Notamacropus eugenii: one gene and its partner. The protein of the gene in region 1 purifies or fractionates together with the protein of each later gene. This does not show direct contact. Links are inferred from orthologs where the notes say so. Each region holds a gene or a part of one and is shown on either strand. Other genes may lie near its edges.

What was found.
Region 2: the proteins of H2AX (region 1) and KAT5 purify together in Homo sapiens (affinity purification with western blotting; 3 studies listed by BioGRID and IntAct, with this or other methods). This does not show direct contact. The link is inferred for Notamacropus eugenii from reciprocal best matches to the Homo sapiens genes H2AX and KAT5.

What each region holds. Positions count from the first base shown.
Region 1 is NC_092876.1:279,717,048-279,722,965, forward strand, and holds H2AX (histone H2AX), read left to right. Parts: upstream 1-4,314; 5' UTR 4,315-4,422; coding exon 4,423-4,860; 3' UTR 4,861-5,309; downstream 5,310-5,918. Other genes in the region: DPAGT1 (UDP-N-acetylglucosamine--dolichyl-phosphate N-acetylglucosaminephosphotransferase), read left to right, coding at 546-633, 781-936, 1,090-1,155; HMBS (porphobilinogen deaminase), read right to left, coding at 5,826-5,918. UniProt on the Homo sapiens protein: Variant histone H2A which replaces conventional H2A in a subset of nucleosomes. Nucleosomes wrap and compact DNA into chromatin, limiting DNA accessibility to the cellular machineries which require DNA as a template.
Region 2 is NC_092873.1:18,452,569-18,460,104, forward strand, and holds the start of KAT5 (histone acetyltransferase KAT5), read left to right. Parts: upstream 1-4,527; 5' UTR 4,528-4,797; coding exon 4,798-4,809; intron 4,810-4,914; coding exon 4,915-4,981; intron 4,982-5,713; coding exon 5,714-5,782; intron 5,783-5,901; coding exon 5,902-6,038; intron 6,039-6,410; coding exon 6,411-6,593; intron 6,594-6,730; coding exon 6,731-6,805; intron 6,806-6,895; coding exon 6,896-6,970; intron 6,971-7,057; coding exon 7,058-7,306; intron 7,307-7,536. UniProt on the Homo sapiens protein: Catalytic subunit of the NuA4 histone acetyltransferase complex, a multiprotein complex involved in transcriptional activation of select genes principally by acetylation of nucleosomal histones H2A and H4.

The DNA.
Region 1 (5,918 bases):
GAAATGCCCTTTCCTGCTCCCAGGTGCTCCCAGTGCTTTAAAGCTCAACCTCTTACTGCTAGGAATCCTCCCCTTCAGTTATGACATATTCCTTCCTTCCCTTCCCTTACACCTGTGCCTTTTAAGCATTTATGTGGACCTTGACTTATTTAACCTCCTATATTTTGTTTTCTCTGTTCATGTGTGTCATATTCCTTAACTAAATCTTAACTCCATAAGGACAGGAATTGTCTTATCTAAGCTTTGTTTACATTTCATCGAACACCTCGTGTAGTGTTCAGCACACAGTAGACACTTGTTTGTTGAATTGAATAACTCAAATGTACAGATTTTCAGGTCTGTAAAGTACTTTCTTCACAGTCCTGTGAGGTAGGATTATTATAATCCTCATTCTACAGATGAGGAAATTGAAATTCAGAGAGGACATGTTACCATGGGTTTCCACAACCAATAAGTTTGTGACCCTAGAATGTGAACCTATGATTCTTAACTCTTTCTATAATACTCTGCTGCCTCTTGAGTGTCACACTCCATTTCCTCTGTAGGCTCAACACCAAAACTGGGAAGCTGGAGATGAGCTATTCCAAGTTCAAGGCCAAGAACCTTTCTCTCTTGGGCACCCTGATACTGAAGGTAAGGTTGACATGCACACCCAGGTACTACTATAGACCCAGAGCATGGGAACTCCAGACCCAGAGCAGACCTGAGGGAAGGTTTGTGCTTTTCCTCTTACTGATGTGAAACATGGCTATGGTTAACACCCACCTTCTGCTTCTCCAGGGTGCAGAAGCCCTCCGATTGGTGGCTGTCCGTCGAGGTGAAAATGAGGCTGGTGCCTACATTGAGTGCAACAACATGACCCTCATTAACCTGCTCATCAAGATCTTGGGGCCCATTCATGAAAAAAATCTCACTTTGTTGCTTCTGCTCCTGCAGGTGATCCTTTGGGCTAAGATGGGCATGGCGGGTCCTTATCCCTCTTCCTTATTCTTCTGTTTTCCATATATCCTCTCCCCAGGCTGGTTACCCTCCTAAGGTCTCCCTCCCTGCCTCCTTTTCTCATGACTCTCCATCTATTTCTCCTTGCAGATTCTGGCTAGTGCTATCACATTCTCTATTCGATACCAGCTGGTTCGGCTCTTCTATGATATTTGAGTCTTTGACGGTGACTCTTTACTTCACAACCCTCTGCCCCTGTCTCATGTGGACCCCTGTTGGACTAAGACTGTATTCCTCATAAGCCTATTGGGCTTCTCCCCATCCTTATTGTCTTCAAAATTATCTCCTTGGGGAGGTATCCTACCCCTCAATGATTATTTATTGATTGTATTTGCCCTATGGACTTCCCTAAATTGACATTTTTCTCCCTTTCCTTCCTTTCCTGATGCTTCCCCTGGGGCAGGAGGCAGCAGCTTCTTGGAAGCTAGGTTGCCACTAGGGATCAGGCTAAGTCCCTGGTGGTTCCTAATGGTTCCACCCTGAATTGATATGTTACTGGGAATTAAGCATTTTGATTAATAAGGAGCAACCTGAGTGGTCATTAGCTCCTTTTGGTGATGATAAATATGTTTGGTTCACTTTTTTAACTGTGGGTGTGCTCTTGTTTTCAGATGATTTTGGGGGGGCAGGGGAGGGAACACTTCCCTGCCTGCTTCCACCATTAGGTAAATATCAAATCCTGGCCCCTCTTTCTGTCTTCTTTGCTCCAGATACTGAGCTCCTTCCCTTCCTTGCAGGTGGGGGAAACATACATAGTTAAGTCATGCAACCTATGTGGAAAATTACATTGGAGAAAAACAACCAGGTGGAATAGCTATCTGAAAATGTGTCACATAGAAGGAAGTATTAGACTTCTTTTGCTTAAGTCTTGAGTATAGACCCAAGGCCAATGAGTGGAAGTCACATAGGAACAGATTTTGCCTTAGTAAGAGAAAATTTTCAAAAACCAACTCCTTATCAGAGCTATCAACAAATGGACTGAACCCCTTCAACAGGCAGTGAACTTGCCAGTCAATGGAAGCTGTTCAAAAGGAGGTCACTAACCACTTGTCGAGGACTGCCACTGATAAGAGTGAATGAATGAAGCACTTATTAAGTGTTTACTATGTGCAAAGCACTGTGCTAAGTGCTGGGCAGGCACATAGAAAAGTCAGGCCGGCCCTCCCCAGGAGCTCATATTCTAATGGAGAAACACCACATGCAAGGTTCAGCTGCAAGTCTCACGGTTCTTAGGGTGCAGCTGCAAGGGAGCTGGAAATACCTTTTCTTTAATGTTACTTCCACCAATAAAATCATATTGACTTCTGATGGTGAACCACTTGGCAGTGCCAGGGGCTTTGGTGGCAAGACCCTTCTTTTCTGAGTCTTCAGTAACTGTGGCTGCAGCACTTTCAGAACAATTTTGAGGGCTGGGCTAGAAGCAGGAGTGATGCTGTAAAGGTTGCTGAAGCTCTTAGGGCTCTTATGTCTATCTGCCTGTTGGTGGCAATTATTTCTAGTGTTGATGACAAAGGTTGAGAGGGATGATCGCCCTTTTAACTGTCCAGTCTTAAGGAGTGGAAGTGAAGGATGAGAGGGAAAGACTGATCTCTGAGGAAGACATAAGACCAAAGGGTGGAAATCTGAAAGGTAAATTTAGATTTTATGTAAGGAAAAATTGCCAAACAGAACTATGGAAAGGTAGAATAAACTGCTTTGGTCACTAGTAGGTTTCCCCCTTCTTGGGTGTCAAAGTCTTGAAGCTGAGGTTATATTGTAGATTGGATCCTATTCAGGTATGGGATGGAACCAGGGATGAGGAACCTTTGGTATCGAGGCTGGAACTTTGAAGTTTGGATTCAACGGCTGTACTAGAGGGCCACAAGTGTCCTTGAGGTCAAAGGTTCCCCATCCTTGGTTAGATGGATGGATGGATGGATGGAGGGAGGGAAAAAAAGTAAGTGCTGACTCTCAGTTGTTTCAGACTCTATGACCCCATGTGGGGTTTTCTTGGCAAAGATACCGAAGTGGTTTGCTATTTCCTTTTCCAGCTCATTTTACAGGTAAAGAACCGGGGCAAACAGCTGCCCCTAACGACAACAAACGTGCTAAGTGCGGGAGATATAACTAGAAAAGTTTGAGTCCCTGCCCTCCCAGCTCCCAAGTCCCCTCCCTCTTGTAGATGTGAGAGAAGACCCCGATCCTTCAGCTGGGGCTGGGGCCCAGTCAGGGGCTGGAGTTTTCCCTTCTCTTAGGGACTGGGCTGCAGGGACCTCTTCTTACCCACTGAACTTGTTCAAACAGGGTTTGGATTTGGAATAAAGGGCCTGGGCTAAAGGAAAACCAATTCAAAACTTCATTTTAACCTTGACCCTGGGTTTTTGCATTTCCCAAGACAATCATCGCTAGTAACAGCATCAAGCGCGGGGGACAAAGAAGGTCCGCCCAGCCTCCCACCAGAGCTCACTCAGCACGCGGTGAGCACCTGCGGCGTACCGGCACCGGCCCGAGGGGCGCGGAGGGCGGCGCCAGGCCGTGCAGTCAGACACGCCTCCCTGGTTCGGATCTAGTCTCAGCCGCCGGCAGGCTCGGGGCTCCTCGGCAGAACGGGCTGGAGAGGGAACGGCAAGCCGCAGCCGCTGCCTGGAGGGGCGGGGAAGGAAGGCGAACACGCGGGAGGAAATCTTCGGGACTAGTCCTTAGGCAAGGGGCGGGCCCTCATGGGAAAGGGCCTTCCTCACCCTTCCCGTAGCGGGCGCCTCCGGGGGGCGGGGCCCGGGCTCCGCCGGCGCTGGACGGTCCCGAGGGACCGCCCTCTGTCCGGCTCTTTCGGTCCTGTCTGACTCTGTGGCTTTGTTTTCTTGGCAAAGATATTGGGGTGATTCGCCGTTTCCTTCTCTAACTCATTTGACAGATGAGGAAACTGAGGCAGACAGGATGAAGTGACTTGCCCGAGGTCACAGCTACTAAGTGTCTGAGGTCGGATTTGAAGTAGGGAACCCGAGTACTCTTCCGCGGGCGCTCATTTGCCTTTCTTGGCGCCTAGGCCATTTGAATCTCCCGCGCTTCCGATGGATTGGCCGCTTGGGGGAGCGGGAAGCCGGGGGTGGGGAGGAGCGAAGCCGACCGCGCCCCTCCCTCTAGTTTGCTAGTCGGAGTGATCTTCCCCGGGTTAGAAGAATTTTTAAATCCAGCCAATCGGTAAGCACGCTCATACGCTCAGGAGGAGGAGCCTGATAGCTAAGGGCAGCCAATCGGAGGCGGCCTCCATGATGCAGCCAATAGGGAACTAAAGGACGCTGTGACCGGCCGCCTTAAAGGCGGCAGCTTTGCACGCGGACCGGCATTTAGACTGCGGCGAGAGTTTGGTGAGTGTGTGTGCGCACGCGCAGCCGTTACTCGCGGTAGTTCTCTCGGAACCAGTCTCGCGCTTTATACGTTAGCATGTCGGGTCGCGGCAAGACCGGCGGGAAGGCCCGTGCCAAGGCCAAGTCTCGCTCTTCGCGGGCCGGGCTGCAGTTCCCTGTGGGCCGTGTGCACCGATTGCTGAGGAAGGGCCACTACGCGGAGCGAGTCGGAGCCGGCGCGCCGGTGTACCTGGCGGCCGTGCTGGAGTACTTGACGGCCGAGATCCTGGAGCTGGCGGGGAACGCGGCCCGGGACAACAAGAAGACCCGCATCATCCCCCGCCACCTGCAGCTGGCCATCCGTAACGACGAGGAGCTCAACAAACTCCTGGGCGGCGTGACCATCGCCCAGGGCGGCGTCCTGCCCAACATCCAGGCGGTGCTGCTGCCCAAGAAGAGCGGCGCCATCACGGGACCCAAGGCCCCGGGCAGCGGCGGCAGCAAGAAGAGCACGCAGGCCTCGCAGGAGTACTGAGCGCCTCGCCGGCCTCGGCCCGTGGCCGCTCGGCCCGCACCGGCCCCCCTCCCCCACAAAGGCCCTTTTCAGGGCCGCCTCCCCCCTCCCTGAGAGAGCTGCTGCACCCGCCTCCCTCCCCGAGCCCCGCCCCCGCCGGCCCGGCCCGGCTAGAGCTGCAGCCCGGAGCCCGGAGCTGCGGCCCGGCCCGCCGGGGCCCGGGTTATTCTGACTCCTTCTCTCTTGGCAGCTACCGAACAAAGCCCGGGGCCATCGCGCCCCAAGGTCGCGCGGGGCCCCCAGACCAGCGAGGGCCAGACCTCGTCCGAACCCGGCCGGCCCCGACCCTGGACAATGAACTGAATTTTCTCAGCTTAGACTCGTTGCCTTTATCCGGGGAATTGAGAGACTGTGAACGACAATTCGGAAGTCTGATTAACTTAATTTTATTAAATTTTTTTTCTAATGAAGTTTCTTGTCTTTCTTCAGCTCCCCCTAGGTGCCAAAGGTTAGCTAAAGATCGTGGTGATTCGGTGGCCACTTTTCCTTGGGGGAATTTGGGTCTGGAGAGTAAAAAGATTTTAGTACGTAAATCAGTCAACGTGCGTATTTATGTGCCAGGAACTGGAGATAGATATACTGGAAGGTGAATGGGATGACTGTCCACACCCCAGTCATCATCTACAGGCTAAATAAAAATTCCACTAGAGTAAGGTCAGGTGTTTTATTGACAAATTTGGTTACATTCAAAGTCTGTAGACTCTCCACAGAAAACAATTCTCCAGCCCCTTGTAAAAGAGGGCCAGAACAAGGCACTAGGAAGCTTAGCAGCAACAGGTCCCCTTTCCCACACCTGAGGCCCAGATGATGCAGTTTTTTGTGCCCAGGGATAGTTCCTGTTGAGTTAATTAATCCGGGAAGGATTCAGGGCACCCCAGAACAAATCTGGTCAATGTTCCTGGGCAGAAAATGCCCTTGGGACTAGGTTAGTGGGCATCATTAAGCTGTCTTGCTATATCCAGGATCTTCTTGGCTCCCTTGTTCAGTAGCAGGTTGGCAAGACTGACACCCAGGTTTTC
Region 2 (7,536 bases), on another chromosome or scaffold:
TATCAGAACTAATAGGGCCCTTTGTTCAGTTATGTCCAATTCTTCACGACCTCATTTGAAGTTTTCTTGGTGAAGATACTGGAGTGGTTTGCCATTTCTTTTTCCAGTTCATTTTACAGATGAGAAAACTGAGGCAAATAGGGTTAAATGACTTGCTCTGGGTCACGCAGCTAAGTGTCTGAGACCAGATTTGCATTCAAGGCGAGTCTTCCTGACTCCAGGCCCCACACTCTATCCACTGTGCCACCTTGATGCCTGAAAAGGCCTTTAGCATGTGGAATATCAGCACATAAGACTCAGGGAACATCCAATACCAAATGTCAGTGTTGGGAGTGATCTCAGAATATAGAATATATAATGTCAAAGCTTAGATGAATATAGAATATCAGAGCTAGGAAAGACCTGAGAACATAGGACATCAGATATGAGGAGACCTTTGATGGTCAAAGCTAGTAAGGGCCTTAGAACATAGAATATCAGAGATGTGAGTGACCTTAGAACACAGAATGTTAAAGTTTACCAATGATCTCTTAGCAGCCTTTTCTCATTCCTTATTCTCCTTGGCTTCTCTGCAACCTTTGATAATAGTGGTCACTCTCTCCTCCTTGACACTGTTTCCTTTGTTGGTTTTCAGGACACCTTTCTCTCCTGGTTCTTCTCTGACCATTCTTTCTGTCTCTTTTGCTGGATCCTTCTCCAGATCATGCTCTCTTCCCTAGGCCCCTCCTCTCTTGGACCCTCTTCTCTTCTCTCTCTCCATTTCACTTTGTGATTTTATCAGTTTCCATGGATTTAATTACCACTTTTATGCCGATGATTCTTAAATTTACCTATCCTGCCTTAACTCTGCTGATTTCCAATTTCATATCTCTGCCTTTCAAGGCATCTTGATGTCCAGTAGACATCCTAAACTCAGTATTGTCCAAACCATCCCCACTTCCTACTTTCCTGTTACTGTAGAGGGCAACACAATCCTCCCAGTCCCCCAGGCTCCCAATTTAGGAGTTATTCTGGACTACTCCCTCCCTCCCTTTCCCCCATCCAATATGTTGATTTCTCCCCCTCCAGCCTCCTTGTTCATTTCACCTCTGGTTGATTTCTCCTCTCTAGCCCTTCTTGTTGATTTCTCCTCTGTAACACCTCTGATTGATTTCACTTCTGCAGCATCTTCCCATTATACCCCCTTCTCTCCTCATCACCACAAGCCTGGATTAGTTGCTGGTGAGTCTGCCTGCCTCAAGTATCTCCCCACTCCAGTCCAGCCACCATAGAGCTGCTAAAATGATTTTCCTAAAGAGCAGGTCCTACTTACTGTTTTTGGTGTTTGAAGCTCCTATCTACTTTTCCAATCTTCTTACACCTTATTCCCTGACTTGTACTCTTTGATTCAGTAACACTGGCCTCTTTGCTGGTCCATGAACAAGACCCTCCAATTCTTGGATTCAGGTACTTCCTCTGGCTGCCTCCTGTGCCTGGAACATTGTCTCTCCTCATCTCCGACTGCTGGCCTCCTGACTTCTTGTATGTCCCAACTAAAAGCCCATCTTCTCCAGGAAGCCTTTCTCTTTCCCTCTTAGTCCTAGTGCTTTCCCTCTGTTAATTATTTCCTATTTTTCCTGTTTATATGGCATGTTTGTACATAGTTTGTTGCATGTTGGGGAAACCCCTAAAGGGATTGTGAGGTCCTTGAGGGCAGAGACTATCTTGCCTTTCTTTGTATCCCTAGTGCTTAGCATAGTGCTTAATTCATGTGTATTGGCTGTCTGAGAGTTTACAACATAGACTATCAGAGCTAGGAAAGACCTTAGAACCTCAAATGTCAAAGGTCAAGCTTTGACTTTAGCACAGAACATAGCATTTGTTCATCAGGTAGGATGTCTCTGAGAAAGCTTATCTAAGGTGGGAGCATCTTTAGAACATACTAAGAGATGGTAAGAGGCAACACAGTATGTGACAGCAGAACATGGGATATCTGAAACTGAAGGGAACTAATCTGAAGCGTGGATGGGTATTACAACATAGACATGGATTGTTAGTGTATGATGGGAGGGACCTGAGAACAAAACCTATCAGAAGGGACCCTTGAATAAAGACTGCTGGAAATGAGGAGGGCATTTGAAGAAAGAATGTCAGAGCTTTGAAAGGCCTTAGAGAACTGCATGTCAGGGCTGGCTTGGACCTTAGAACATAGGACTTGCTGAAGTGGATGGGACATTACAGCATCAAGCAGAGAATATCAGACTAGCAGGGACCAGAAACTGGAGAACCTAAATGCTATTAGCTAGATAACACTGAATATCAGAGCTGAATGTATCCTTAGGGCAGTTTGGTATAGTGAAAGAAGCATGAGTTGGGAAATCAGAGGAACTGGGTTCAAATCCCACCTCAGCCACTGAGACTTAACCTCCCTAGACCTCAATTTCCTCATTAATAAAATGGTAGAGGTGTTAGACTAGTTGATTTCTGAGGTCCCTTTATCTCCAGATATGTGATCCCAGAAAGACAAGAATGTCTTACCTGGGAGAAGTCTTAAAAAGTAGAACAGAGAATGTCGAAGCTTGTACGAGCCTTGGAACATGGACTGTCAGAGCTTACTTAGGTCACACAGTGTAGAAGAGCAGCGTTGGGACGGAACTTAGATTGTAGATTATCAGAAAGGGGAAAGAAATTAGAACACAGATTGTCAGAACTGGGAGGGTGCCTTAGAACATAGAGGAAAAAAATGTCTAATCATGGTTTTTAAAAGACAAGGCTATGGAATGTTATCCTGCAAGTCCGCTGAGTGTTTATTAGTCTATTACTGTATGCCAGACACTGTGTTAAGCTTGGGGGATACAAAGAAAGGCAAAAGACAGCCCCTACTCTCGAGGTGTTACAGTCTGATTAGAGACAACATACAAACATCATACTGTGTACATAAATAGAAGGTATTTCACAGATGTTAAGCACTAGAATTAAAGGGGATCAGGAAAAGCTTCTTGCAGAAGGTGGGGTTGGAGTTGAAACTTGACAGTTTCTGGGAATACCAGGAAGATAGGGATGAAGAGCGGGGAGCGTTGTTACTTTCTCTGGCCTTGGAAAAGTCTTGCTAGACAGTACAAAACAGAACAGAGAATGTTAATCCTCAGAGAGACTTGAAAACCTAGCACAGGGTTTCAGAACTGGAGGAGACCTTAGGACACAGAACATAAGAGATGAAAAGGACCTTGGAATCAATAAACCAACTGCTTGCCAGGCACTGTTTGGGCACTGGAGATACAAAGACAAAAAATAGAAGTTCTTTGTCCTCAAAGATCTGACATTTTATAGGAGTCTAACATGTACACATGTAAATATAGACCTATCTATATAATGATGCCTGATAGAGAATTTAAGAGCATAGAATGTAGACTGTCAGGATTGGCTGGGCAGGTCAGAACTGAGAGGGACCTTAGAATACAAAACATGAGAACTTGGAAGGGCCTCAGAGGGTAAATTGTGAGAAGTTGGAGTCACCTTAGACGTCCTTCAAGAAACTGAGACGGAAGGAAGGGATGTGAACGGACCAAGGTCACACATAACCTCCCAGCCTTTGCAGCATTCCGTTTTCACATCCCTTCATAAAACCACCAGCTGCTGCTGCTCCAAAGGAGCTCATGATCCATTTCCTTCTTCGGTTTAGAAACGTCAAATTGACAACTGCGTTAAAAATTCAAAAGCACATTAATTTTGTTGAAATACTTGTGTTTACGGTGGGAGAGATCCAGGATGAGAACTCACCGCCATAGACAAAGGAGGCCCGTTCATTCCTTGTGATGGTGGCAAAGGTATTCCTCCGTGGTCTCTCCGGTCAGTATTTGCTCCAATTCATTTTGGTAAATCAAAAACAAAGCAATCACTTATTTTAATTAATTGATTTATTGACGGAAGCAAAAAGACCTAGCAAACACGAACTCTGCCTGCGGGGGATCCTCACAACTCACTTGGGACAGGCCCCTCGGCCCAGGCTCGGTTGTCCAAAGAAGGTTTGGGGGAGAAACAGTGGTTGGCAGCGCCCTGGGTTTGACATGCCTCTGCGCTGCATCGTGACTGGGCACTCTGGCAGCGAAATGCCATTCGATCTTCACAACAACCCTGGGGGCCGGGGGTGGGGGCAGGTGCCGTTAGGGCTCCGTTAAGCCGAGACGCAGTGATGTGCCCAGGGTGACAGGACTAACAAGGGTCTGGGCACGACTGGAACTCAGGCCTTCCTGACTCCAGGCGCCCAGCCCGGCCAACCCCGACCCTTTACAGAGGGGGAAACTGAAGCCCAGACTGGAGAGTGACTTGTCCAAGGTCGCTAAGGCAGCTCGGGTGAGCAGCCGCATTCGAACCCAGTGCAGGCCGGATGGAGCACCGCCGCCGCAGTCTGCTGCCCCGCAGGCCGGCCCCGCCCGCACTTCCAGGACCCGGCCGGAACAACAAGCGCGTCACGCGCCCACGTGACTGCGACGCGCTCGAACTACGTGGCGTGAAGGACCCAGCTCTCCTCCAATCAGGCAGCGAGGCGCGAGGCCCCGCCCCGGCCCGGAGCCGGCCCGGGGCCTCGAGGTGGTTCCTGCGCCGCTTGCCCAACCCGGAGCCGAGCGCCCCTGAGGGCCGGCCGCCCTCCCCGCTTGGGCCGCGTTCTTGGCCGCGGGCTCCTCCCGCCCCCGGTCCCCTCCTCCCGGAGCCTCCCGCAGCCCCACACCCTCAGAGCTGCTAGCAGGGAGGCGCCGGTACGCCGGATGTGACGTCACCCCGCGGAGCCGGAAGCGGCTCCTGAGGGAGGGAGGGAAGATGGCGGAGGTGGTGAGTCCGGGGCCCGGCGCGGGGCGGGGCGAGGCGGGGCGGAGGCATCCGCAGGACGGCGGCGACTCCCCCGGCCTCCCCCATTGACCGCGGTGTCTTCCCCAGGGCGAGGTCATCGAAGGCTGCCGCCTGCCCGTGCTGCGGCGTAATCAGGATAACGAGGATGAGTGGCGTGAGTGACGGGGGGCGGAGCCAACGGGCGCCGTGGAGGCGGGGCCTGGGCGCTGGAGCCCTGCAGGGAGGGCGGGGCTTGGGGAGCGAATAGGCGTGGTTCCCCTGAGGGGCGGGGCTGAAACATACCTCGGAGGGAAGGATAAAGAGAGGGCCAGGGCTCGGGGAGGGAGGGACGTGGTCTGAGAGACTCCGGGGAGGGGGCCTGGCCAGAGGCCAAGAGACCTCCTGGGAAGGGATTAGAGAGGGGGCCTGGGGTAAATGGCAAAGGGGCGTGGCTAATTTAAGGATGGAGCCTGAGACCTCCCAGAGTGGGGCTTGGTGGGGTGTGGCTAGAACCTGAAGACTCCACCCACTCATCCACCCACCCCCGGTCTTGGGAGAGGTGAGACTTGGTCTCCAGTTTAGGATGCCTCGGGTGGAGGGCAGGGCGGGGCTAAGGACCCCTAGGAGCCAAGAGGCGGGGCCAGAGTCCTTGGCACCCCCCCTCTCCAAGGGCATTCCAAGGGCAATCTAAGGGCGGGGCCAGGGACTGGTGGGGAAGGGGCAGGACCCAAGCTAAGGAGAGGGGGTGATCTGGGCATCCTGGGGAGGGACTTGGAGGGGGAGAGAAGATACTTTTCTCCAGAGGGTAGAACCAAAGCAGGGGGTGGACATGGAGGAAGCTGGCTCCCAGGGACAAAGTGGGGTCTGTGCCCAGCACCCCTCCAAGACTCCTGCCTCTCCCTCGCAGCTTTGGCCGAGATCCTGAGTGTGAAGGACATTAGTGGCCGGAAGTTGTTCTACGTTCACTACATAGACTGTGAGTGCCACGCCCAGTGGTCCTTGGGTACAGGGCGGGTATCACAGGCATCGGGGGTTGGGAGGATGAGAAGAGCCCTGGGGGACACCTTACATCAGAACTTCTCCACTTCTGTGCAGTCAACAAGCGCCTGGATGAGTGGGTGACCCATGACAGGCTGGACCTAAAGAAGATCCAGTTTCCTAAAAAAGAGGCGAAGACCCCCACAAAAAATGGGCTCCCTGGGTCCAGACCGGGCTCCCCTGAGAGGGAGGTGGTGAGTAGAAGCAGTATCCAAATCAACCTGGAGACAGTTCCCAGGAGGATGGTCAGGCCCCGCCCCCATCTCGCTTGTCCCTGTCGTGCTTAACCCATGGTTTTGGGGCTCCTGTGCCGCAGGCTGAGGATGAGAAGGGGAACAAGGCAGCCCTGCTATAGTGGCCGCAGCCTGGAGAGGCTCTGTAGAGATTCAGGTCGGGTCAGAGGGAGGAGGTGGTGTTACTGAATCTTAGGTTTCAAAATTCAGTCACCAAACCCCACATAGCTGGGGTGGGAAGCCAGCCCAAGGGGAAGGGGTGGGGGGGTGAACCCACCTGGCTGATGGGGGCCCCCTCCTCCCCTCCCCCTCGCTCCCTTCCCCCTCCCCCAGAGGAAGACCCTGGACCTATCTCTACAGCCGGCTTCGGCCCAGGCCAGTGGGAAGACACTGCCGATCCCGGTGCAGATCACGCTCCGCTTCAACCTACCCAAGGAGCGCGAGGCCATCCCCGGCGGCGAGCCTGACCAGCCCCTCTCCTCCAGCTCCTGCCTGCAACCCAACCACCGTTCCACGGTACCCTCGGATTCCACTCTTCACCTGGAGCTCCGGAGCCCAGCTCCCTCGTCCCCACAGTTCCTTGTGAGCTCGCTTCCTTCCAAGACCCAGGTCCCCTGCCCCTTTGACCCACCTTTCTCGGTCTCTCTCTGCAGAAACGGAAAGTCGAAGTGGTTTCACCAGCAACTCCCGTGCCCAGCGAGACAGCACCAGCCTCTGTCTTCCCTCAGGTGTGTGCTTGAGACCCCCTTGGTGCCCCTGAGCCCATGCCCTTGAGACCCTCAGCTCATTCCTTCCTTCCCCCTCCTGTGTCTCCACAGAATGGTTCAGCCCGGAGGGCACTGGCTGCCCAGCCAGGACGGAAGAGGAAGTCCAACTGTCTAGGCACAGATGAGGTGAGTCTGGTAAGGGTGGAGTAAAGGGAGCCAAGTCAGGGGAGGGTGGCATGCTCATGCCTTTCCCTGCCCTGTGGCCACCGACAGGACTCACAGGATAGCTCGGACGGAATCCCGTCGGCCCCTCGCATGACAGGCAGCTTGGTGTCTGACCGCAGCCACGACGACATTGTTACCCGCATGAAGAACATCGAGTGCATCGAGCTGGGCCGCCACCGCCTCAAGCCCTGGTACTTCTCCCCATATCCCCAAGAACTAACTGCCCTACCTGTGCTCTATCTCTGCGAATTCTGTCTGAAGTATGGGAAAAGCCTCAAGTGTCTGCAGCGTCACCTGGTACGTCATTGGGGCCTCCCTCCCCTAGCCTCCTGTCACTGTCTGAGCACCTACTATATATGCTACACACTGTACTAAGCTTTGGGGAAGCAAAGAAAGACACAATCTCAGTCCTTGTCCCCAGGAGCTCACAATCAAATGGGGAGATATGTGCTTGAGTCCTCATGTCTGATGAAGAGAGAGTAGGTGGGAGAGAGCCTTAGAAGGGAGAGGCCAAGCAGTGGGTCGAG